2 linked regions of the Mytilus edulis genome follow. The protein of the gene in region 1 binds, or shares a complex with, the protein of each later gene. Links are inferred from orthologs where the notes say so. Each region holds a gene or a part of one and is shown on either strand. Other genes may lie near its edges.

Region 1 (11,568 bases):
CCGCTAACAAATTAAAAACTGTACCTATACGCCTTATTTTTAGTCCAGATTTTTAGTATTCGTAATGTTATCTTAGAAAGTCTTACTGATTAAAATACTACAATATGTAACAATTCGACAATTTAGTAGTGTCAACCCTGTGATTATGACCCGTGTATATAGCATACTAATCCTGAATACACCGTTTGTTGGTGCGCCTGTCAGATGCGGAACGTACTGATAAGGTAATAGGTAACAGGTGAATATACTATTGGTATCGGTGTCGGACTCGACCCGGAACTTCTTAATTATTGGCAATATTAATTACGTGGAAAACAAAAGGGCCTGGAGTGGTGTAATTTTTAATCTACACCTTAGTACTATATTAGTTATATATATAAAGTTGAATTCTTTGATTCGTCGTTTTTACGTGATGACGGCTGACAAATTGGACCTCATAATTTTAGTATTATAGATATATGAGTAGTCCAAATAATTATTACGTCTGGCAAGGCTTTTTTAATTTTATTCTGGGACACCTTCCTATGACCGCAAGGCTATGTTAATTATTTTCTGGGACGCCTTCCTACGAACGTCGTAGGAAGGCGTCCCAGAAAAAAAATAAAATATCCTTGCCAGACGTCATAATTATTTGGACTAATACATGAGATACTGGATATTTTTATGCATTATTTTAACCAGTTGAGCATTTTACGGGATTTTTGGTTTAATGCTGTTTAAACTTTACTGAAAAAAAAACACCTTAAATTTGCTAATTATTTGGCATGAAAGTTTGATTTATTGAAAGGGACTCATAGTTTTCCATTTTATTTTGATAATTGTCTATTGTTAGAACAACAGTTGGGTAAGGGCTTCGTTGTTTACCTTTATACACAACAACATATTCACTTTGGTTTCCTTAATTGTTTACCTAAATGCACAACAACATATTCACTATGTAATTGGTAACAGTTATTAATTAATTGAATAGAAAATATTATAACAAATATTATTGGATGCTGAATTGACGTCAAATAGGTGCCGATTTGACTAGATGCCAATTTAACCAGGTGCCGACTTGACTTGTACGTTTCAATTCCTCTGCGATCGTTTGCGGTATTTTCTTGAGAAAACCTATTTTCCATCATCAAAGAGAAGAAGAAACTGCTTGAAAATGATTCTGGAACGCTTCATGATTGTAAAAATAAGTTTAAGGTTTATGTACCCTTCTGTAGCCATTTTTGTACGAACTTTTCAAACTTCAATTATATCAAAACTACAGATATAATGAATAATAGAGATAGGCCATTTTGTACATATTCCAAGGGGAAACTTGATGCAAAGCATTATTTTTTACTGTTCCATTGCATTTAATAGAAAAAGAGGACTTTGTGGCTAATAAATCAAGATTTTTATAGAAAATCCACAGCCTTTATCCTTGTACTCTCATATTTGGCAATTTGATGACTGATAGATATAGGATTATTGCATGCAGTGCTAGCATTGATTTCCTTAAAACAAGTTTATAAATGTAGTTATTGGTTAAGACAAGTATAAATATGGCCAAAATCAAGTACACCTTTTAGGGTGCGCTCGACTTTAGTGACTCAGCACGAGGTGTTTTGGAATTTACAGGTTACTTAGAACTTTTTGTAAAAAATAAACACTAGCACATCATAGAAAATCAAGTGAGTAATTTATGTTTCAAATTTTATAACAAAAAATTCTGTATTAAAGGCTGTGGATTTTCTATAAAAATCTTGATTTATTTGCCACAAAGTCCTCTTTTTCTATCAAATGCAATGAAACAGTAAAAAATAATGTTTTGCATCAAGTTTCCCCTTGGAACATGTACTAAATGGCCTATCTCTATTATTTATTATATCTTTAGTTTTGATACAATTGAGGTTTGAAAAATTCGTACAAAAATGGCTACAGAAGGGTACATAAACCTTAATTCACTCAAATAACAATTTTGAAACTTGCGATGTTTAAACAGGAAGTTTCAAAAGCACGTGTAAAAGAAGAAATTAACCGGTGAGAGTGGAAATCCGTACATGACAGATATCACTATAGTACGACTTTGAAAGTAAAACAGTTCCATCCTTTTGTAAAACAGTCTTTAATATACCTATCACATTAATGTTTGAAGGGTCTTAAGCTTATTCAAACCATATAAGTCGGTATGAAACACCAAAACGGAATGAACAATAACCGATTACATTTTGTAGTTTACAAATTCTAAACTGGTTCCCGTCAAACTACAACACTTTGTTCGAGTGTAGTGGAATACAAGCAGAAACCAGTTAGATTGTATAGTAAATATGAAACCGAGTGTAAACTGGTTCCTGGCTGATAACTACACAATGATCATGCATAATGATAACACAAGCAGATTCCAGTTTGTATGGAAAATAGTAAATACGAAACCAAGCGCGGTAGGCAGAGAAATGTAATGAAGTTCAGGTCGGCAGTAATGGAACAATGACTGCGTCATTTTCCAAAAACTGGCCCCTCTCCAACTCTTCAATATTACAATGTTGCACAGTTTAACCTAAGAAAATGTCAAAGAAAATACATTGTATTTTCCCCAACAACAACACAAATACTTCCTTGATTCAAAATTTGCAACGCTCAAAATAATAAAATGAAAATGAAGAAAAAAAGATGATCTTCATACTATATGCCATATACTGTTGCTCGTTTCATAACGTTTGAATCATCGCCTCTCCTCTGGTAATATTCATTGCCCCCCTAAATGTGTATATATGATACACCGGAGCAATGGACGGTTATTTTAGCGTATAACTGCGTTTTACCTATAGTCCTGAACATTCATGAAATATTAGCCACTGGACGATAAGTGACAACTTCGCGTCTATCTTCCAAACATGTGTATCATTTTTTAGCAAATCTCGATATTCCACTTTGACAATTTGCTGAAAGTGTACTGTAACAAATACAAATAAATGTGAATCTTGTTGTTAAATTTAGACTAACGTACTTCAATAATGTCATTGAAATGTTAATCGTGCAACTCGTGCTTAAAAAATTCCCGCGGAAATGTGTGTACTCGTGGTTTACGTAAGTACATGTAACGTATCGGACATAAGTGTATTTGACACTATTTCTCTGTTTAATTAAATTAAAATCGTGTATTATTTGCGATATTGTTTTTAATTTTTAAATAAACATGATTTAGAAAAGAATGCTGTTTTACTGGATAAAACAAGGACTCTTTTAACTGTTATTGTAGGAATGAAATACGTGCTCCCTTTACGTTCGTTTGTACCTTTCGTCAATTTGTAAGAAAGCTCTAATAATACATGTACATAAATGTAATAGTAAGTCTATAAATGATGTAAATCAATTCAACAGAAACAACCAAAGATCTGCCATCAAAACCAAAATCTCTGAAAGCTATAAATATCAAGATGTGACAGAGAACAACCAACAATGAGGCCCCATAATTTTGGACAGATACATGTACATTGTACTAGAAAATGTTATGGTTTTAAACCAAATTAACAAGCCCTCTAAGTCTAAATATTGTCATGATTGATAAGACATGTGAGAGGACCAACAAGACATAAATACCAAATATTTTATACCATAAAAGTGTTTAAATACCTCTTGGATTGCTGTTGTTCATCATGGTCCTGCTGAGCCTGCTTTGCTTTCAGGTACACCTCTTTGTAACATTTAGAACAAAATCCCTGCCAGTTTGGGTTCCCATAGAAACCACAACCGTTGTCACACAACAGGTCATCTTTATTTAGATGGAAACCTTTCTTTGCAACAGTAGCACTCATTCTGTGCTGTAACTATACTGAAATAAAATCAAGGAGATACTGTAAATTTATTCTGAAATTATTCTGTGCATTCATCATGTTTATTAAGTCATGTAAGTGACTGTGATTGTTGCACAAGTGACAAAATGTGAAACTAATTATTTTAAACATTTGTTAAATGTGAAAACTATCCTGTTGCAAGTTTAATCTCTGCCTTAAGTTGCCTCTTTGTCTGTAATCAAGTATTTTGTAGCTCGACCACTGTTCTGTCATTTAGTGTCATATTAATATCCTATTCCAACCAATTAATTGCAAGCATCAGTCATGTCAGTTGATAGTTCATGCTATGTATACCTCTAGCGAAAAGAGAGACTACTTTGGCCCTATAAGTTAAAGTAGAGAATATTTATACTGAAGTTGAACCCTGGCTGATCCCTAGCTATTGGTACATAATGCAATGTAGCGAGAGCTTCCCATTTCATGACAAATTTGTAACAAACCATATTGTATCCCTAACCATACTTGCACATACATGTTAGTTCTCTGAAAAAAAATGTAGAAATCAGGCCTACTAATAAGAACGGATCAATACAGTTGTTTTAAATAAGGAATAAAAGGAATCAGTACATTCTAATACGGGTTAGTAAGGATATAATTAGGTTGTTAGATCCTCTGTCAAATTTGGTGCATGCTAAAATTGTTACAGATACACAAGCACTAGTACACATGACTACGACTATGCTAAGGAAATATACGACCATAACAGATTGCCATGAACAGACAAAAGATGCCAGATTGTATCGGATCCGTTGGTAATCCAGTGTCAAATCTGTCAATGCATGAACTAGGCATTACTTTGAAAATCCTTGGTGTAGACAAGGACACATATTAGAGTTATGTTAGTTATATGTCCTTGATGTAGATAAACATCCATGCTAGTTGTTAGATAATTATGCATATGGATGGTAGTCAAAGCTTGCTTGAAATAGAAAGTCTAGAAACAAATCATAAAATGGGCAAAAGTGCATAGAACTGTCTGATATGAATTACTATTATACTTAATGTCTGATGCACGTAGCTATAATATTTATACATGAAGTCTGCACAGTGCAATGCAAAGTACTATGGAAATGTTGTTTGTTTGGGTTTTTTTCATTCCCAGCTAGACGGAGAGAATATAAAGAGCTTTTTGTGGAAGAAAACCATCAATTTTGAGTTAATGTAATGTTGAGTTACCTGATAATATTATCATTTAAAAGATTTACTTATGCTTTACCTGTTGATCAAGCTTTAAAATATCTATAAATGACACATAACTCAATTATTGTCACAAGATCATTCTTTTTGTATCGAACGTCTCATGAGGTGAAGGTCGGGAGGGGAGCTAACTGTTACGCGCAAACTAAAATAACAATATATATTATGTCCCATTAAAACTTATCGTTGAAACAAAATTAAGGAGAAAATACATAAAAACAATTTGCATATGATAAACACGACACCTTTCTAGTTTCAGATAAAATTCAATTGTTGTATTGATTATTTACTTTAGTAATTCAGTAACCTGTATTTATCTTCTCTCAACAAAGGGGGCGTGGCAGATTCAAAGTGAAACTGAAAGTTGAGGAAAACAAAAACGTAAGTAATGCTCATTCAATTCGTTTATAAACAAAATATGTATATGACGATGAATCAAAGTTTGGCACAGATCTGACAATGATTACATTTGGAATATTGCTTATGCATAATCAGAGTTCAGTTTTATGTCAGTACCGTCGAGCCTCCTCAAGTTGCCAAGGTGGCTATAGTATAGGTTTGTATTTCTGACATTTCTCATTGTTTATGTATTATTTTTAATATCATGTGTGTTTATTTCAGTCTAATCTTCATAATTTAACAATGATTGGTTTATTTCATCTGTCACACATCTTGTTTAGGTACGAATTACATCGCTCTTGCATAACATTTTTTCCATAAGTTATGTAACTCTGAACATGCTGAACTAGGAAACCCTCCCCCTATTTAGGTGTCGACCTAAATGTTAAATTATTAATAGAGATCGAAGCTTGCTTCACTATTTGGATAGATAATGTGTATTGTTTATTTTAGATTTATGCCATTCTATCTCTTTTTTTTCGTTATCACAAATGATTGTAAAGTTAGTGTTGTATCAATCTATTTTTATGCAAGTAGACATACATTAGCACAATATCAGGTACCATATGGTAACAGATGGACTTGTAGATAATAACCTCATATCTAATGGGTCTATCGTCCTGAACATGCATGTGATATTTGCCACTGTAGGTTAAGCAATCAACAATCAATATAATGGGTCTACGAAGTCAAGGATAGGTTGCAAAACGAGATCATAAACGAAAAAAATATTAACTGTTTTCAAGTAAGAACCAATTTAGAGACATTCAAGTAGGAACCTTATTTTATTTCTCCTCCATTATAACGTCAGAATTTTAAATTGACCCAGGATAGAATCTTTCAAAAGTACATGTATTTGTGTATAAATATTTTATAATAATATTTAAATATCAAAATTAGTAGTTGTGGTATGATTGCCAATGAGACAACTCGTCACTAGAGACCAAATGACACAGAAATTGACAACTATAGGTCATAAAATATATATAAATTATATCTACAATATATATCAAGGTAAATGTCTTGAATGTAGGTGATACATCAAATAGCTGTACTTAAATATATTAATATTTTGACACAGTGAGTCTGATAATATCATAAAAACACTATGCATTCCTCTTTAATAGAGTGCTACCTTTTATTATTAAAACATAGATATAGGAAGATGTGGCATGAGTGTCAATGAGACAACTCTCCATCCAAATAAAAATTTATAAAAGTAAACCATTATAGGTCAATGTACGGCCTTCAACACGGAGCCTTGGCTATAAGCTATAAAGGGCCCCAAAATTACTAGACGTGAAAAACCATTCAAACGGGACAGCCAAATGTCTAATTGATATTAAAAAAAAAACGAGAAACGAGAAACACGTATAAATTACATAAACAAACGACAACTACTGTACATCAGATTTCTGACTAAGGACAGGTGCAAACATTTGCAGCGGGATTATACGTTTTAATGGTACCAAACCTCTCCCTTTTTCTGAAACAATAGTATAACATGTATAACATCACAAAATAGAAAAACACACGATAAAATATCAATTGGAAGGCTTAACTCAATCAAAAAACGTAATTTAACACACTATGAATGCATACATAAAATTTCTTGTAAATTCCCTCCCCTGACTCACTGTGTGAGACTAAATGATGTATGAATCAACACGATTGACGTATATGTAATAGTCAATTATTATTCTGTCCATCTTGTATGGGAAAGGATTTATACAGGCTGAGCCTTTTTTCAAGTCCCTTTGTTTGAATGCTTAAACAATAAATTCTTTGAATTGAATCGAACTATATGTCACCCTACGGCCTTCAATAATGTTTTTCTCACGCATTTTCCAGTCCAAAGGTCACGTTCCTGGGGGTTAAGCTTAATCCAATCTGATGTGTGTTAGCTTTAGAATTTACATTGCTCTGATTAAAAATAAAACAAAAACCAACACTGTCAGTATCGGACTACCAATTCAGGACTAAATGGGAGAAAGAAATACATGTTGAAGGGAAAGAACTATCGTAATAGTTGTCAGGGTTGGTTTTTTTTCTCAAGCCAATCCAAAAAGAAGAAAGTTCATCCCAGTTTTATAGCTATATTGATTTGCAAGATAGGATATTGAAATGTCAATATATGATATCTTGACCATTTCTAATTTATTTTTAAATTATTTGGTAGGACATTGTGCAACCTTAAAATTAAAAGTTACTGTTATAATTTTCACGTGCACAGACTATTCCGACTGCATGAAAGTAGTGGGTTTAACCAAATTAAAAAAAAACCTACCAACATATGAACGTATGATCTGGTTAACAAATTTCGAAGATAAATGACGTTAATAAAAACTTTAGTCAATAAATGTTAACATAGAAAAAAAGTGCTTTAGTTTAAAATCTTGGATTATTCGTCCACTAGAGAAAAATAAATAAACAACAAAATTCCCCTAAATATTATGTGAACTATCCAAAATAAGAAACATGACAATCTTATTCTTTCAGTCTTAACTAAAACGAAAGCAGCATGAAAGCAATCGCGGATTCAGAAAAATTGAAAAGGGAAGTAGGGGGATTCATCGTATTCCTAATTTCGACATTTTTCAAAATCATCGAAAAACAGAGATAGCCTTTTTGTGATGTTTCTACAATAGCAGTTTCAAAACACAGAACAAGTCTCTTTTGTTGGCAGTCTTTCAACAAATTCAAGAAATCTGCATGTTTGTGACTATATATATATTTTTCTAAAATCTCATCTACGTATGATACCACTAATGATTTGCAAGAATCAAATCGAAAATGGTATTTTATACCAAGTTTTCAACGGTAATGTTGTTTACAAAGCAAATAAGTTTTAAGAAATACCCGTCAAGTCTCATTTTTGCTAATTGTAAAACGCATTTACAATTATATCATCGTTATGCACATATGATCACATATTGTTCTCTTATTGTAATGTTTCTTCCTTGGTGTGTTCTCTTATTCCTGTGGTCGTAGCTTCAATTTTCATAAAACTATAGTTTAACCTTTGACATGTAAATGCACCTGAGCTGACATGCACAAGTAAGAAGCATTGTCAGCGGCTCTTGTCTTGAACATACATGAAATATTTGCCACTGGAAGTTAATCAACCACACAATCAATCAATCGTCTGCGGATTTCTATGTTGACGATAACATATCTATGGTAGTATTTTTTAAAATCATTCGCTTCTCTTAGACTTTAACCATTTGTGATATGGATTCAAATATCTGTTTGAATATTATAGGTTTTTTTTCCTTTTTTATTTTCGATTTTCTGTTTTGGTTATTTTGTTTCATTGACATTATCATTTATATACACTACACTTCTCCCTTTATGATCAGAAGATATATATACACTACACCTCTCTGGATATAATATCGTTATATTCCACTTATAAATGAAATATGTTGTTTTAATGTATGTACAATTTATATCGATATCAGTGAAGATCTTTTCTTTTACAGTAGTCTGAAATAAATCAAACTGTCGACTTGTGTTCGAGATGTAAACCTTAACACATACACAAACTTAGTACAAATGGTGACTCTACCCAGTATGTTGCAGGCGCCTCTGCAGGCTTTACTTCGACCTGCGATGTGGATTCCAGGCATAAAAAATATACACAGCCATTTTGTGACGTGAGTTAAGCAATATTGTAAAGACTTTTTGCCTAAACGTTCAAATCATACCTTGCAGTGAATAATCACTTTAGTATATATGTAGGACACAAATCTATGGTGGGTTCCAAATCTATGGCAGATTCCTAATCTATGGTAAATATGACGTCATGCCATTCCAAATCTATGGCAGATTTTTTAACCCTAATCTAAGGCAAGTTTTGTAATTTCCTAATCTATGGCGGATTTGTGTTGTAAACATGTAGGTGCATCATGATTAGAGGATATCCAGAAGAGTAGAAAGGATGTTATATTACATAGTATTGGTTTTTTTTCATCCCCCTACCCCCCCTCCCCCATATGAACCGTTTCCCTTAAGATCTGCTATGCTTTATCTAAACATAAAATGCAAGTATTATAGCGAAATGGGTAAGAAGTGGAAGTTTGATCATAAGACAATGGACTCTATGCACATTCATCATTAATGTGTTTCTTCTTAGCAAATGATTAAGTAATTAACAGTGTGGTAAACCCTGATTTTTTTTGGTAAAATATATCACTTTTAAGAATAACAACAGGTAGAGGCCACACATTTGATTGGGAAATATATTACTTTTAAGCATAAAATTGTCCCAAAAAAATATCCCCTCCACTCGGCGATACTTCTTTTCGCCACAATTCCGACCCCTTTAAAAAATCCTGGGTCCGACCCTGAACGTTACATATCGGGTTCACATGTTTGATTCAGACTTGATAAAATTTTGATGAAGCATTTGTTTTCTTAAATGAAGATGGCAGTCCGACAAACCCCCGACGGAGGTACTAGCTGCATTGGTTACTGCTATTAAACAGATCAAGTCTTCAGATGACACAGGTTCATTTTATGATATACATAAGGTAATTATTATGATTTTTTTATGCAGTTAATCTGCATTATGCGAGCACCCTAGATTTGTGGTCTACCCAATAAATGCTGAAATACTTGCCATTGTTATTATCTAGCTGGCTACTATGTTATATATAACTAATTGAACACTTTTTTAATACTTTTAATTCTGGATTACAAAAAATATGACTAGAAAAACCTTAAATGATCGTCGAATCACCCAAAACTTTTGAAGTTGCACATAGGAAGTAGTGCTCATTAGGAATTCTTATGTAGTTTATTATCGCCTGTGCTTTTGGCTAAGATGTCAAAAAACAATTGTACGAAATATTTAATCGCCGAAAATCTTTTAAGACAAGTAGTTTAGATTTCCCAAATGGCAAACGTCGTAGGAATATTGTTTGTCGTCAATACGTAGTACAACTACGTCAGTAGTCTATTATATAATAAGTTCAACTGTTCATGCTGTTGGCGGCAATTTTAAATTAGAATACGAAGACAAAATTCGTATCTTTTCAATTTGGAGGCAGGGGTTCAAATTAGCGGTGGTCCGAGGTACGCGACCTTCCACTTTCGACTTGGTTACTAGCCACGCCCGACGGGCTTTCCACTCTGAGACAACTATATCACAGTTATAGTAGTCTCAGTTCCACTTGAAAGAAAATAAAAAATAGCTTTGCAAACCTTTTCGCCAAAGTCTCCAAATAAACGATCTCAAAACTTGTTTTAATCATTATTATTCATGACAGCGATGTCAATTTTGTTCAATCGCTAGCTATATACAGAAAATCGCCGACAAAAAATGTGTTAATACGAGTAAAATCGTATCTGACTGACAAAAACAATTGTCATCCTATCCCTTCCTGTTTGAGAACTTGAAAACCCTCGAGATCCCCACCCCTAAACCATATATATTCATGTATGGAACAATATAACAAATCAAATGAAATATAGGGGAAGTCTCTGGGGTCACCCTACCCCTTCCTGTTTGAGAACTTGAAAACCCTCGAGATCCCCACCCCTAAACCTTATATATTCATGTTTGGGACAATATAACAAATCATTTACATTTACTATGGGCAGGTCAGTCAGACCTCACCTTTGATCCTTGTAGTAGTGAACATTTGTCTGATTTGTGTTGCATAACTATTGTACTATAGAACACATACTCAGTTTTCTTTACAGGGAAACCAGTCCATTCATACTATTACATGTTCTTACTAAGTCAACACGTACTACTAACAGTCAACTAAAACAAACGTTAACTACCAACTAGAACAACTACAATCATTGCGAACTTGTACCACTGCAGACTCACCATAAAAAATATACATTTATATATTCATTGCTATTGAAACATTGATAACATATAAATTATTTGCCTTAATAATTAGTTCATTAGATAAACATAAATGTACAATATATGAATGTTTAACGCCACATCAGAGGCGGATTTAGAGGGTTTTTCAGTGGGCCCGCTCCCCCCTTCCATTTTTGAGAAAAAAATTGATTGATTATATAGGTAATCACTGAAGCATGACTGGAGCAGGTCCCCTGTTAGGCAGGCAGTGGGCTCCCACTTATGAAAATTTCTGGATCCGCCACTGCACATAATTACGTT
Region 2 (12,308 bases), on another chromosome or scaffold:
TAAATCATTTGTTTCGTCAAAACTCTTATTTCATACTTGATCTTACAAATGTGGTTGGCATTTAATTTCATAGATGGTCCAATTTTACTTATTGATGATTTGAATTGAATTTAACAGTAGGTTCGAATTGTGTTCATAAAGAATCCTTCTAGTAGACATTCTGAGTCGTCTATGTTGTCTCTGCCTGGGCCATATTGTCTCACGTCCTTTTTTTAGTGACATGATATTCGTGTGTCATACACGCTTTTTCAACAGTTACACGCGAGGATTTTGTCACATGGCGTGTACACGCTTTCCACCACTTTACTTGCAATTACACGCTTTTTCGTTCTTTTCATTTTTTGGTCGTTAGTGATATTGCTATTCTCGGGTTTTTTCCTTATTCGGCGATAAATACTGAAAAATTTGAAGTAATTGTTTGGCTGCCTTATTGTTTATTTTTCTATATGGACAAACAGTAAAAGGTAAGAAGTTTGTGATTAGTTTTAACGATTTTGTGACTTTCTTTCAAATTCACTTGATAGGGGAAATGTGCACAAAAAGAGGTCACTTTCAGGGCCTGTACCGTCGTCTAAAGTGCCGATTGTTAAGCCAAAACGCTGTGTACGGGAAGATTCAAGATTTATAAATTATATTTTGGAGTTCGAGTTTATATGATCGAGTGACAAGCAACGCATAATTTGTGCATTATACGTTGCAATGATAAACAAGAGGCTCTCAAGAGCCTGAATCGCTCACCTGGTAAACAATGCCTTCGGCCATGTTTTTTGACGAAATAGAAAATAAAACACAAACTTTATTTTATACACCCTACTGATCATTCAAATGAAGTTTGGTTGAATTTGGTTGAGTAGTTTTAGAGGAGAAGATTTTTTAAAGTTAGCAAATATGATGAACAAATTGTGAAAAATTGTCATTAAAGGACAATAACCCCTTAAGGGGTCAGTTGACAATTTTGGTCATATTAACTTCTTTGTAGATCCTTCTTTGCTGATCATTTTTGCTGTTTACAGTTTATCTTTATCTATAATAATATTCAAGATAATGACCAAAAACTGCAAAATTTCCTTAAAATTACCAATTAAGTGGCAGCAACCCAACAATGGGTTGTTGGATTCATCTCAAATTTCTGGGCTGATAGATCTTGACCTAATGAACATTTTTACCCCATTTCAGATTTGCTTTAAATGCTTTAGTTTTTGAGATATAAGCCAAAAACTGCATTTGACCCCTATGTTCTATTTTAAGTAACGGCGGCATTGTTTTTTGACGGATCAAAAATCGAAGCACAATCTTTGTGCAGGATAATCTAAGGAACAATCATGCTAAGTTTCATACAAATCAATTCAGTAGTTTCAGAGTTGAAGATGTTTGAAAAATTGTTAACGACGACAGACGACGACGACGGACGCCAAGTGATGAGAAAAGCTCACATTTCCTTTTAGGAAAGGTGAGCTAAAAACTGCAAATTTCCTTAAAATTACCAATTCAGGGGCAGCAACCTAGCAACGTGTCGTCCGATCCATCTGAATATTTCAGGGCAGATAGATTTTGACCTGATAAACAATTCAACCACAGTCAGATTTGATCTTAATGCTTTGGTTTTTGACATTTTACCCCTATGTTCTACTTTTAGCCGTGGCAGCCATCTTATTTGGATGGCAGGGTCACCGGACACATGGCCAAGTTTGGATTAATTTGGCCCAGTAGTTTCAGAGGAGAAGATTTTTGTAAAAGATTACTAAGATTTACGAAAAATGATAAAAAAGGCTATAAAGGGCAATAACTCCTAAAGGGGTCAACTGACCATTTTGGTCATGTTGACTTATTTGTTAATCTAACTTTGCTGAACATTATTGCTGTTTACAGTTTATCTCTATCTATAATAATATTCAAGATAATAACCAAAACAGCAAAATTTCCTTAAAATTACCAATTCAGGGGCAGCAACCCAACAATGGGTTGTCCAATTCATCTGAAAATTTCAGGGCAGATAGATCTGAACCTGATAAACAATTTTACCCAAGTCAGATTTGCTCTAAATGCTCAGGTTTTTGAGTTATAAGCCAAAAACTGCATTTTACCCCTATGTTCTATTTTTAGCCATGGCGGCCATTTTGGTTGGTTGGCCAGGTCACCGGACACAATTTTCAAACTAAATACCCCAGTGATGGTTGTGGCCAAGTTTAGTTCAATTTGGCCCAGTAGTTTCCGAGGAGAAGATTTTTGTAAAAGATAACCAAGATTTACGAAAAATGGTTAAAAATTGACTATAAAGGGCAATAACTCCTAAAGAGGTCAACTGACCATTTCAGTCATATTGACTTATTTTTAGGTCTTACTTTGCTGAACATTTTTGCTGTTTACAGTTTATCTCTACCTATAATAATATTCATGATAATAACCAAAAACAGCAAAATTTCCTTAAAATTTCCAATTCAGGGGCAGCTACCCAACAACGGGTTGTCCGATTCATCTGAAAATTTCAGGGCAGATAGATCTTGACCTGATAATCAATTTTATCCCATTTCAGATTTTCTCTAAATGCTTTGGTTTTTGAGTTATAAGCCAAAAACTGCATTTGACCTCTATGTTTTATTTTTAGCAATGGCGACCATGTTTGTTGATAGATCAAAACTTTGGATACAATTTATAAACTAGATACCCTAAGGAACATTCAGTTAAAGTTTGGAAGTATTTGGCCTAGTAGTTTCAGAGGAGAAGATTCTTGAAATAGTTTACGACGACAGACGACGGACGACGACGGACGCCAAGTGATGGCATAAGCTCGAGAGGAGAAATACAATGTAGCTATTTGAATAAGCATTTAACATGTTTATCTAATGGAAATCAAATTTATAAAACATTTTTCTTTTTCAATTTCAGTTTCAAATCTAGCAAACACGGCAACAGATTTCTACAGGCCATGCATATGGGGATAAAAATATCACAGAACTGTTGAATCAGCTCTCATAGTACCAGCTTTCTTCTGATGAACTACCCAGTTTTAATCAGGCAATAGCAATGGCAGAGATAATAGATGACATTTTACATTGCCAATAAAAAAAAACATGACATTCTTTCAAATCTTGATAAAGCTAATTCAGTCAAATTTCAATTCCTACTGTTGGAGAGCCTTTTCAATTATAAAGAAATTGACACTGAATTCTGATCAGAACTTGACTATGTTACATTTGTATTGTGTGCTGTTATCAAATAAATGTAACTAAACTTGAAATGGCAGTTGTTTTCAATATGTGCCTAGTGGTGGTGCTTTAAAAGCAACATAACAGACCACTTTTTAATACAATAAAAGTTCACAGTAGAATATATATTGTTTTTTTATATTCACAATTTGTATGAAATTATGAACATCACCACATTCATATTAACAAGTCCGCATCTACGTCACGCGTTTTCACACGCTTTTTGACATGTCATGACATTTTACGTTGATCTGTCAAACTTGACCAATACTCAAAACAGCTTCCAATGGGCGCAAAAAAAAGAGCAATTTTGTAAGATAACCAAAGAATATACAAGCGAGTATAAAGTATGACAGAAAAAGAAAAATAATAATAGTAAAGCAATGTATGAAAACGGGGGGGGGGGTCCCATTTGCTATTCGTTCATCTGGCCTCAACCAATCCGGCTTCCCTAGAGGTACATGTACCAGGGAAAAATAATCCCAGCTGGCACAGCTCCAGTCCATCATTTGACTTACTTGGCAAATGGGGAACTGCACAGATTAGATAAAAAGTGTTGAAAGCTCCCTCTTGAAAGATACCAAGGAGGGAGCCTCAGCTTTAGTTGCTGGTAGTGAGTTCCAAACTGTCACTGTTATAACATGTATAAAACACAACACAGAATAATTTTGGTGAACAGATCTGAAAAGAATAGGTATGCAGGGAGACAAGTGTTTTGGCCAAGTGTCATGATCTTTGCCTTTCTAATGATTGGTATATAATTTATTAATGATATTGATAGAAAATTACTACTGGAAATCAAATTGCAATGCATGAATTCGAAGTGACCATACAACAAATAAATTATACATGCTTCAAATTTTATGTACCTGAAGTGTGGTTAAATGTTTATCGTTAAATTTGTTTTCGACGTAACGTAAAACGAGAGACGTTTTTCCAACACATCCTTCTCCAAGAAGAACAACTTTGAATGAATTACGTCCACCTCCGGCGTTAACGCCAGCCATAGTGTGTTCCTATTAACAGTTTGTTTTCAGTTTATGTATGTATATGTCATAAAGAGGTTAAAAGGTGTAACATAAAATTGTCTTCAGTGTTTTCACTTCTTTCCGACGTTGTTTAATACAGCAACATGGCGTTTCTATATTTTACGTCATGGTGGGAGGTCACGAGGAAGTTCCGCTAAGACCCTTACATCATGGACAAATGTAAACATATCCATTTTTCGCACTTTGATAACTTTCAAGATTATCAATGAAAAGCAAAATTACTTTTATTCAAATTAATAGCGAAAAGAACAATGCTATATTATTCTCACATTTTAATCATAATCGAAATAAACCTTGTCATAATCATTGATTTAAGCGGCAACAGGTGATTTGACGTCATGTACAAAATCAAAACATTCTGTCAGAAATCGACTGTTTAGATAAATATAGAAATGGCAACACAATCACAGGTAAAATAATTACATAATGTGTTCTAGCGTATAGAATAACCCTCCTTTAGCACTTGATGATCAGCAGTGTAGGGTATAGTGTTATGACAAGATACAAAACAATATTCACTATTCAGCAGTTCAGTGTCATCAGTCATGAATGGTATTTCAAAATTATCTGGTCATATGTCACATGTACATCCGTAAACGGTTATTTTAAGAATTCTTCTGGAATAAGAATGAGTAAGTCATGGTAAATAACACATGATTATAAGAGTAGGAAATTGAATGACTTAACTTGTAAAGCAAAGCTGTAGTCTTCAAAAATAAATCTTTAAAGGCACCATCTTTAAAATGCACCCAATAATTAAAGTGAAACTTGGTCTTCGATCTAGATATAACAAGTACAATCATAAATACAAGCATCATAGAATGATGAGAAATAAACAGAGAAAGCCAGATGTGAGTTGCTTATTGTTTTCATATTTCACTTAGGCCAAATAAGAAAGTATGTGTGGTTCCAGTTACATCTGAAAATAAAGTTAGGGTAGGTAGGTAGGTATTTTTTTTTATTTTATGGTTTTTTTTTACATTGAGTCTAAGGGAGGGTATCCGGTCGTTCCGGCCCCAAACCGATCCGGCCCCAAGTCAATCCGGCCCAAAGTCGATCCGGCCCACGTCGATCCGTCCCAAAGTCGATCCGACCCATAAAAAAATATGAATTAACTAGATTTTGGAGGAATTTGTCACAAACTTTAACAGTATAAATTGAATTTGAAAAAAGTGTCCGATCGATGATGGATGACAACAGGTCAGTGAAGTATTGGAGTACCAGTTAACGAACTATTTTAAATCCATACGAAAATTAGTGTTATTGTGTCTGTTTGTATCGCAGTTTCTACATTTTAAAATTATGAAGTAATTTTCCATAACTTTCACTTTGAATTTCATGGCGATTTTTATTTTATTCAGTTGACACACAGAATACATGTAGCTAAATAAATATTTACAGTCCAATGGACCTATAAAATTTAACGCATAATAATGACTTATTTAATAAAATCATTAGTCTATAATTGGTTTGTTTATTCAACAGTTGTCTGATGATTGTGAACTAAGGTAATGCCACTTGTAATCACTTAATTCAATCCAATGCTGATTAATTAACGTTACGTAATCTGTTTTTCAACGAGGTCTTTATAGTTTGATCTTCTGGTTGGTGTATATTATAATAATTATTTGTATTTTTTTTTTAGGTTACATCATAGGCTTCTATAACATATAAAAATATTCTATTCTATAACACTTTTTTTTTGTAACATCTGATATAGTCAATATATTTTTCTTATTTCGACAATATTTTGAATAGTGTAGATAAACAAAAAGTCATATGAGTATCCATTATTCTTTATTGCAAGAAAATAACAAAACAATGACATTGAATGCACGTTTTCACTCTCTAAAATATAATATCAGCACTCTTTTATAGAAAGGATCCGGCAAATCAAACAACATTTCTCAATTTTAGAAATTTTAAGAACTTAAAAAGAAAAACAAAGTTTATATGTATCAGCTTGGGGATCGGCTTGTACCGTTCATGTATGTAACTATTTGTTATTATACATGTTACACAAGATGAAAGACTTGTTAGGATCACAGTCAATTGAAAGAAAATGCTAATTACTGCTGATTAATGTTGATGTCTGAATTCTTATATATACGTTTTAATATAATTATACCCAATAATCTTGAAAACTTGTAATAAAGACATAATCAACCTAGTTGTTTTATACTCATCTAAAGAAAATATTTTTCAAAGGCCTTTTTTACTTTATTATAATAAATATTATAATAAAAATAATAAACATTTATGAATTACAATTATTGCGAACCCTATCTTAGTTTTCCATAGATTCACCTGCAAGTTACCTGTCGATTTAAACTTTTGGCAGTTCTATTGTCCCATCTAACAAATACAACAGGTATTGTTCTCTGTGTAGTTTATTCACTGGGACCTTTAAATTTCTTCTAGGAGAAATATATCACTCATTGATTAATTTACCTGACCAAAAAATTATCTTCTTTTTTATTGAAATACTTCTAATAACTCACATAAACTGTATGCAATATTGTATTTATTCAATATTATCATTAATATATTTTCAATCTGTTCAATATAAAATCTGGTTTAATACTAAAAAGTTTATTTCAGACACATTTTTTAGTATTTTCCAATGAATTTACATGTTTTTGTTGTTGTTCATTTTATAGACTTATGTTTATGAAGACCTTAATTTAAAAATAATAATATTCAAATTTTTATTTATCAAACACACAAAAATATTGAATATTTGATCAGAAATCAACTTTTAATTTTTGAATCAGTATTATAAATGTAATATTGAACACATTAAAAACGAGTTACTCCAGGTATCGAATAAATACAATACCACATGCAGTTTTGAGAGTCCTTACTTAGTATTGGTATAAGTATTTTTTCATCATTAACAGTTCAATTTTTTGTTCAGGTAAATTAATCAATGAGTGATATATTTCTCTTGGAAGAAATTTAAAGGTCCCAGTGAATAAACTACACAGATAACAATACCTGTTGTATTTGTTAGATGGGACAATAGAACTGCCAAAAGTTTAAATGGACAGGTAACTTGCAGGTGAATCTATGGAAAACTAAGATAGGGTTCGCAATAATATATATTTATTTTTTATTCCTTGAAATAATTTTTTTTATTGGGGCCGGATCGACTTTACATATGGGCCGGATCGACGTGGGACGGATCGACTTGGGCTGGATCGACGTGGGGCCGGATCGACCCGAAAGCTAAGGGAGCAACATTCTGACTTTAACAGTGCTAAACTCTTTCACTGATTGCTGCCCAGACAGAATTAAGCTACTCTGAGACGATGGCTTCCCAGGCTACTATTACTCAAGTGGGAGATCTTCATAATATATGTCAATAAAAACTTGTTTGTAGTTATTTGTGTATTTATTTCATTCACTAACACCATGTTCACAGTTCTGTTCATGTTTTGATAATTTTTTCTTCATAAAATATTCAAATTTTCAAATTTTCAGCTTTATCTTTGGTGAAATTCTCAAAATTCTGCTCTTAAACCCCAAATCGTAATTTTTACACCCAAAAGGGCAAAATTTTGAAAAATTTTATGAGGCTGTACAAATTCCTCACACTGAACGATGTCCATTCCAAGTGTTTTGTACATAAAACGACATTTTATGTCAAAAAAGTATACTAGTTTGTCTTCAATTCTTCCATATTCTTTCATAAAAAATGTTCCCTCATTTCAAATTCTCGTAAATTCCGTAAATTTCGTCTGATTTTGACACGGTTTTCAACAAACGAAAGCGCCATGTTTACACTTTCATCCAGGTATTCATCAAAGAAAGATAACTCATGTTTGCACTGTTTTGAGCGGGAAACATAAAAGAGGTATTCCGATCCCGGTAAACCGGGACTCATCGGCGAAAGGGTTAATGAAAAATGACAATAAAATCTTTAGGGTAGGCTATTTTTAAGCCGAAAAAGTAGGGACGGTAGGGTTACTGGAACCACACATATACATGTATTTTTATTTGGCCTTAAAAGATATCAAGTATCTATAGATACTACATTGTTGTACCTACATGTACATGTACAGGTAAATGAAGAGGTCAAATTTGTTAGAGGGCATGACTTCAAATCAACAAATAAAGAATTTTTCTTTATATATGAGTCATGACATTGAAAAAATAAACAGCATATTGCAAAATGATTTGGTGTAACAATAACAGTATGAAAATCAATGCACAAAAAACTAAGTGTATGAAATTGGGTTCAAAACAAAAACTTAAACAACTATCAGAATTATGTATTACCGTCAACGAAACATGTATTGAGAATGTCCATTCTTCATGTGTTCTTTCAAATTACTTGGAATAGACATTGATGAAAATTTAAGCTGGGAAGATCATGTTGATCGTATATGTAAAATTATCTCATCTAAAGTATCACTTTTATATAAAATTAAAGTATATTTGCCAATACACACAAGGCAACTATTTTATAATGCATATATTCTACCATATAAGGACTATTGTAGTTCAGTTTGGGGAAATTTATTACAAAAAGATTCAGATAGAATCATAAAACTTCAAAAAAGAGTAGCAAGAATTATACTGGAATGCGATATTTCTATTCCATCTAATTTCATGTTTTCTTCTTTAAAATGGCTATCTTTTACCAAAAGAATAAAATACCAACAATCAATTCTAATGTATAAAATTGTAAATGGGCTAACACCTGATTACTTAGCAATACTAAATATTGATGATGTGCAACGCCACAACTTACGATCTGTCTCTAATAATGATCTTTTTGTTCCAAGACCAAATACAAATTTTTATAAAAAATCTTTTCATTATTCTGCAACCAAAGTATGGAATAATTTACCACTCGAAATAAAAAAAATGTCCTAATGTGGAATTATTCAAGAAACATAGTTATAATCATTTTCTTGAAAATTATATGCAAGTCAACTAATTTGTTTTCCTTTAACAAAACTATATCAAATATTGTCATTTATTACCCTTTGTATATTTCAATGATTGAATTGTGTATATACTAGTAATATATATTGTAAATTAATGTATGAATGTATGAATGTTAACTGTATGCATGTATTTTGTTTGAGGGCCTCAATGAAAATTAGACTATTTCTAATTGAGTTACCCTCTTTAAATAAAGAATTTATTATTATATTATTATTATTATGACTATATAGGACAATGGTCTTCAAGTAGTAAGAAAATGAAGACGGGTTCAAACAAAAAATATGTTGAAAGCAGAGAACTCTGCACCTTAAAATCATCACAAGCAATATGTCTCTAAGTTTTTTTTATGATGATCACAATAAGAAAACTAAACATCTAGGCATTTCTGTTTTTGATAACCAAGAAGGTTAGAATTTGAAAATTTTTATATTTGTTATCACTTCCATGAACTGCAATGTTAAACAACTCCAGTTGAATTCTTCAGAAACTCTTTCCAGGGCCTACTCAGACTGTAAAACTAAATTAGGAAAACTCTGAATTATTCTTGTCCTACAATATCAGTTTATCACTCAGATCTTCTGAACTCATTTATTGTCATGATTGTGATGATTTCTTACTTTTTTAAATTTGCTGCTTCTGCTTCAGTTTTATTCATTTTGATTTAAAATTTTGTAACACACCAATTTCAAGTTTGTTTTTTAATGAATGAGTAGTAAAAGTAAATGAACAATCAGTTCTTACTTTGCCTTAAAAACATTAAAGATTTGTGACGTTGGAATTTTATGGGAAATTTAAACAAAGGGCAAGATGAATATGATAGTCATGAAAGTTGTCTATTAAAATTGTTGTTATATTAGATTAGTTAGAAATCTTTTTAAACAATCTTTGTGTATAATTGACATGGTCAACCCTGTCTTCTTTATTTACTGCAAAAGATATTTTTGTTTTAACATGTTATCAAACTGTACTTTGTACAAAATGTTGTATATTTAAGATTTTACATATTTTTTCATGTCACATCAATATGATTAGATTTGATGTGAGTGTACAGAACTACATATAAATAAACATATACATGTATATAATTTGTGGTAGAAGCTTTAAATTTGTATATTTTTTTTTATTGTAGGTGTTGTTTGAAAAAGATAGTGTTTTCATCCATGTTAATGTGAATTCACATCATTCAGACAAAGATGCACACATTCCAGGAAAGGTGTTTATAATACAAAAGGTAAAACTGTTGTACCAATGAAGCTGGTTTAATAAAGAATATTATATATAAAAAAGAATATGTGGTACTATTGCCAATGAAACAACTCTTCACAAGAAACCAAATTACACAGAAATTAACAACTAGGTCACAATTCAGCGTTCAACAATTAACAAACCACATACTGCATAGTCAACTATAAAACATCCTGAAATGGCAATTGTAAATCAATTAAAAGGAGAAAAATAACTAATGTACAAAAAAATGTCAACACCTTTTCAACCCTTAAAGATTACCAAAAAAGCATTCAATACTTCTGATTACATTGTTTTGCTAGGATCATGAAAACAAGATTTCCATCAAGTTTTTCTTTGAATTACTTATGCACTTTTTTGTGGAAGCTGGTGTCAAAATGAATGTTGCATTTTATTCTGAAATGAAGGTCAAATTCAGAATGACAAGAGATTGCTGTTGGCCAATCAAATAATGTATCGAAATGAAACATACATGTAATATAATTATGAAACGAAAAGACAGTAGTCATTTTAAAACAGTTGATAAGTTCAAAAGAAATTATGATAGTATTTTATCTGTATTTTATCTCCTCCTCATTTCCTTTATTGTGACATTATCTAATGAAACTAACTACAGATTTATTTTGTGCACCTGACATCACCCTTTTTTTATGGTGTTCATCATAAATTCATCATTCTTTGTCTAACTGTTTGAAATATATACAAAAACCAAATCATAATATATACTAACATATAATATATATGTTGAAAGTAATATATACTAACTACATATTGAAAGTAATTGAAAAATTTTGGTTGAAAAAGATTCACAAAAATATGATTTTGAATTGTTGTCTTGTGTGATAAGGAATTTGTGTTTTCTAACATGATGGTTCTAAATTTCAGCCTGAAGGGACATTTATAGAATGGAAAGCAGAAGAGATACTACAGGTAGATGGTCAGAATGAACAAGAATGGGCTGTTATAGGTTCCTCTTTATCTGTCGGCTATAAACCAGATACCGGGTCAGGATCAGATGTTCCTAGTAAGTAAATTTTTCAGATGTACCGAACAATAAACAAACAAATCATTCTTCATAATGAATATTAGCATACTGAACAAATTGAAACTAATTGTAAAATGGGAAATGCCTGATTTGTTTTATGAAAAACTATAATTGTTAAAAAAAAAACCACCTTTCTAAGTAGGAATCCTATATCCATATTAACAGAAACATTCAATTTACTCTATTGAAAAATAATGGGCTCAACAGATTTCAAAAATTTGGAAAAAAGCATTAAAAGTCTTTTGAATTGATAATAATGGTTTACATAATATTATTTTTCACCTTGCAGCAAAAGAAGAGGCAAGAAGAAAGTATAATATAAGTTTTGATATCTTGGATTTAAAAAGTTTCAAGAGGAATGCACCAAACCATGGCTGGGCCTATGTGATATTTATACTGAAGGATGGGACCACATATCCAGCATTACATTTCCATAGTGGAGGTAGTAAAGCCATGCTACAATTCTTAGGGAAAACTCTTCACATTCAGAGGTGACCATGACTTTTGAGTATTTATTTAATATTTTATGTTGAAATAAACACAAATGAGATTATTATAAATATTCATGTTTATTGTTGGTACATGTATGTCTCTTTATTTTATATTAGAACATTGTAATTTTTATGTGACCTTTATATTTAGATTTGGCCTCTTTAATTACTTGAATTGAATATATGTCAGCAATCCCGATGTCTATACCCAATCGTCCAATCCAAAGGTCACTAATAGCTATTTATATTTCAGTTCAATGTAATATTTTAAACATATTTTAGAAACAAAATTTTTACTTTTGATTGAACAAATATA

What was found.
Region 2: the proteins of rab5 GDP/GTP exchange factor-like (region 1) and ras-related protein Rab-21-like are in contact, whole or in part, in a crystal structure (PDB 2OT3), measured with the Homo sapiens proteins. The link is inferred for Mytilus edulis from reciprocal best matches to the Homo sapiens genes RABGEF1 and RAB21. Residues at the interface, in NP_001273991.1 of Homo sapiens: Leu253, Cys254, Lys296, Phe299, Asn300, Lys303, Pro309, Ala310, Ser311, Ala312, Asp313, Phe315, Leu316, Pro317, Ile320, Leu347, Met348, Thr349, Gly350, Glu351, Gly353, Tyr354, Tyr355, Thr357, Asn358, Cys360, Cys361, Ala364, Phe365, Ser373; in NP_055814.1 of Homo sapiens: Ser19, Phe20, Lys21, Gly26, Glu27, Gly28, Lys32, Thr33, Leu37, Thr50, Thr51, Leu52, Gln53, Ala54, Ser55, Phe56, Ala71, Trp73, Asp74, Thr75, Ala76, Gly77, Gln78, Arg80, Phe81, Leu84, Ile87, Tyr88, Asp91.

Annotation. Positions count from the first base shown.
Region 1 is NC_092349.1:73,077,207-73,088,774, reverse strand, and holds the start of rab5 GDP/GTP exchange factor-like, read right to left. Parts: upstream 5,179-11,568; 5' UTR 5,047-5,178; intron 3,809-5,046; 5' UTR 3,792-3,808; coding exon 3,610-3,791; intron 1-3,609. Other genes in the region: uncharacterized protein, read left to right, coding at 8,982-9,082, 9,853-9,958. UniProt on the Homo sapiens protein: Rab effector protein acting as linker between gamma-adaptin, RAB4A or RAB5A. Involved in endocytic membrane fusion and membrane trafficking of recycling endosomes. Stimulates nucleotide exchange on RAB5A. Can act as a ubiquitin ligase.
Region 2 is NC_092353.1:62,763,673-62,775,980, forward strand, and holds the start of ras-related protein Rab-21-like, read right to left. Parts: upstream 4,414-12,308; 5' UTR 4,214-4,413; coding exon 4,076-4,213; intron 1-4,075. Other genes in the region: TBC1 domain family member 15-like, read left to right, coding at 4,999-5,106, 10,341-10,442, 11,342-11,480, 11,791-11,992. UniProt on the Homo sapiens protein: The small GTPases Rab are key regulators of intracellular membrane trafficking, from the formation of transport vesicles to their fusion with membranes.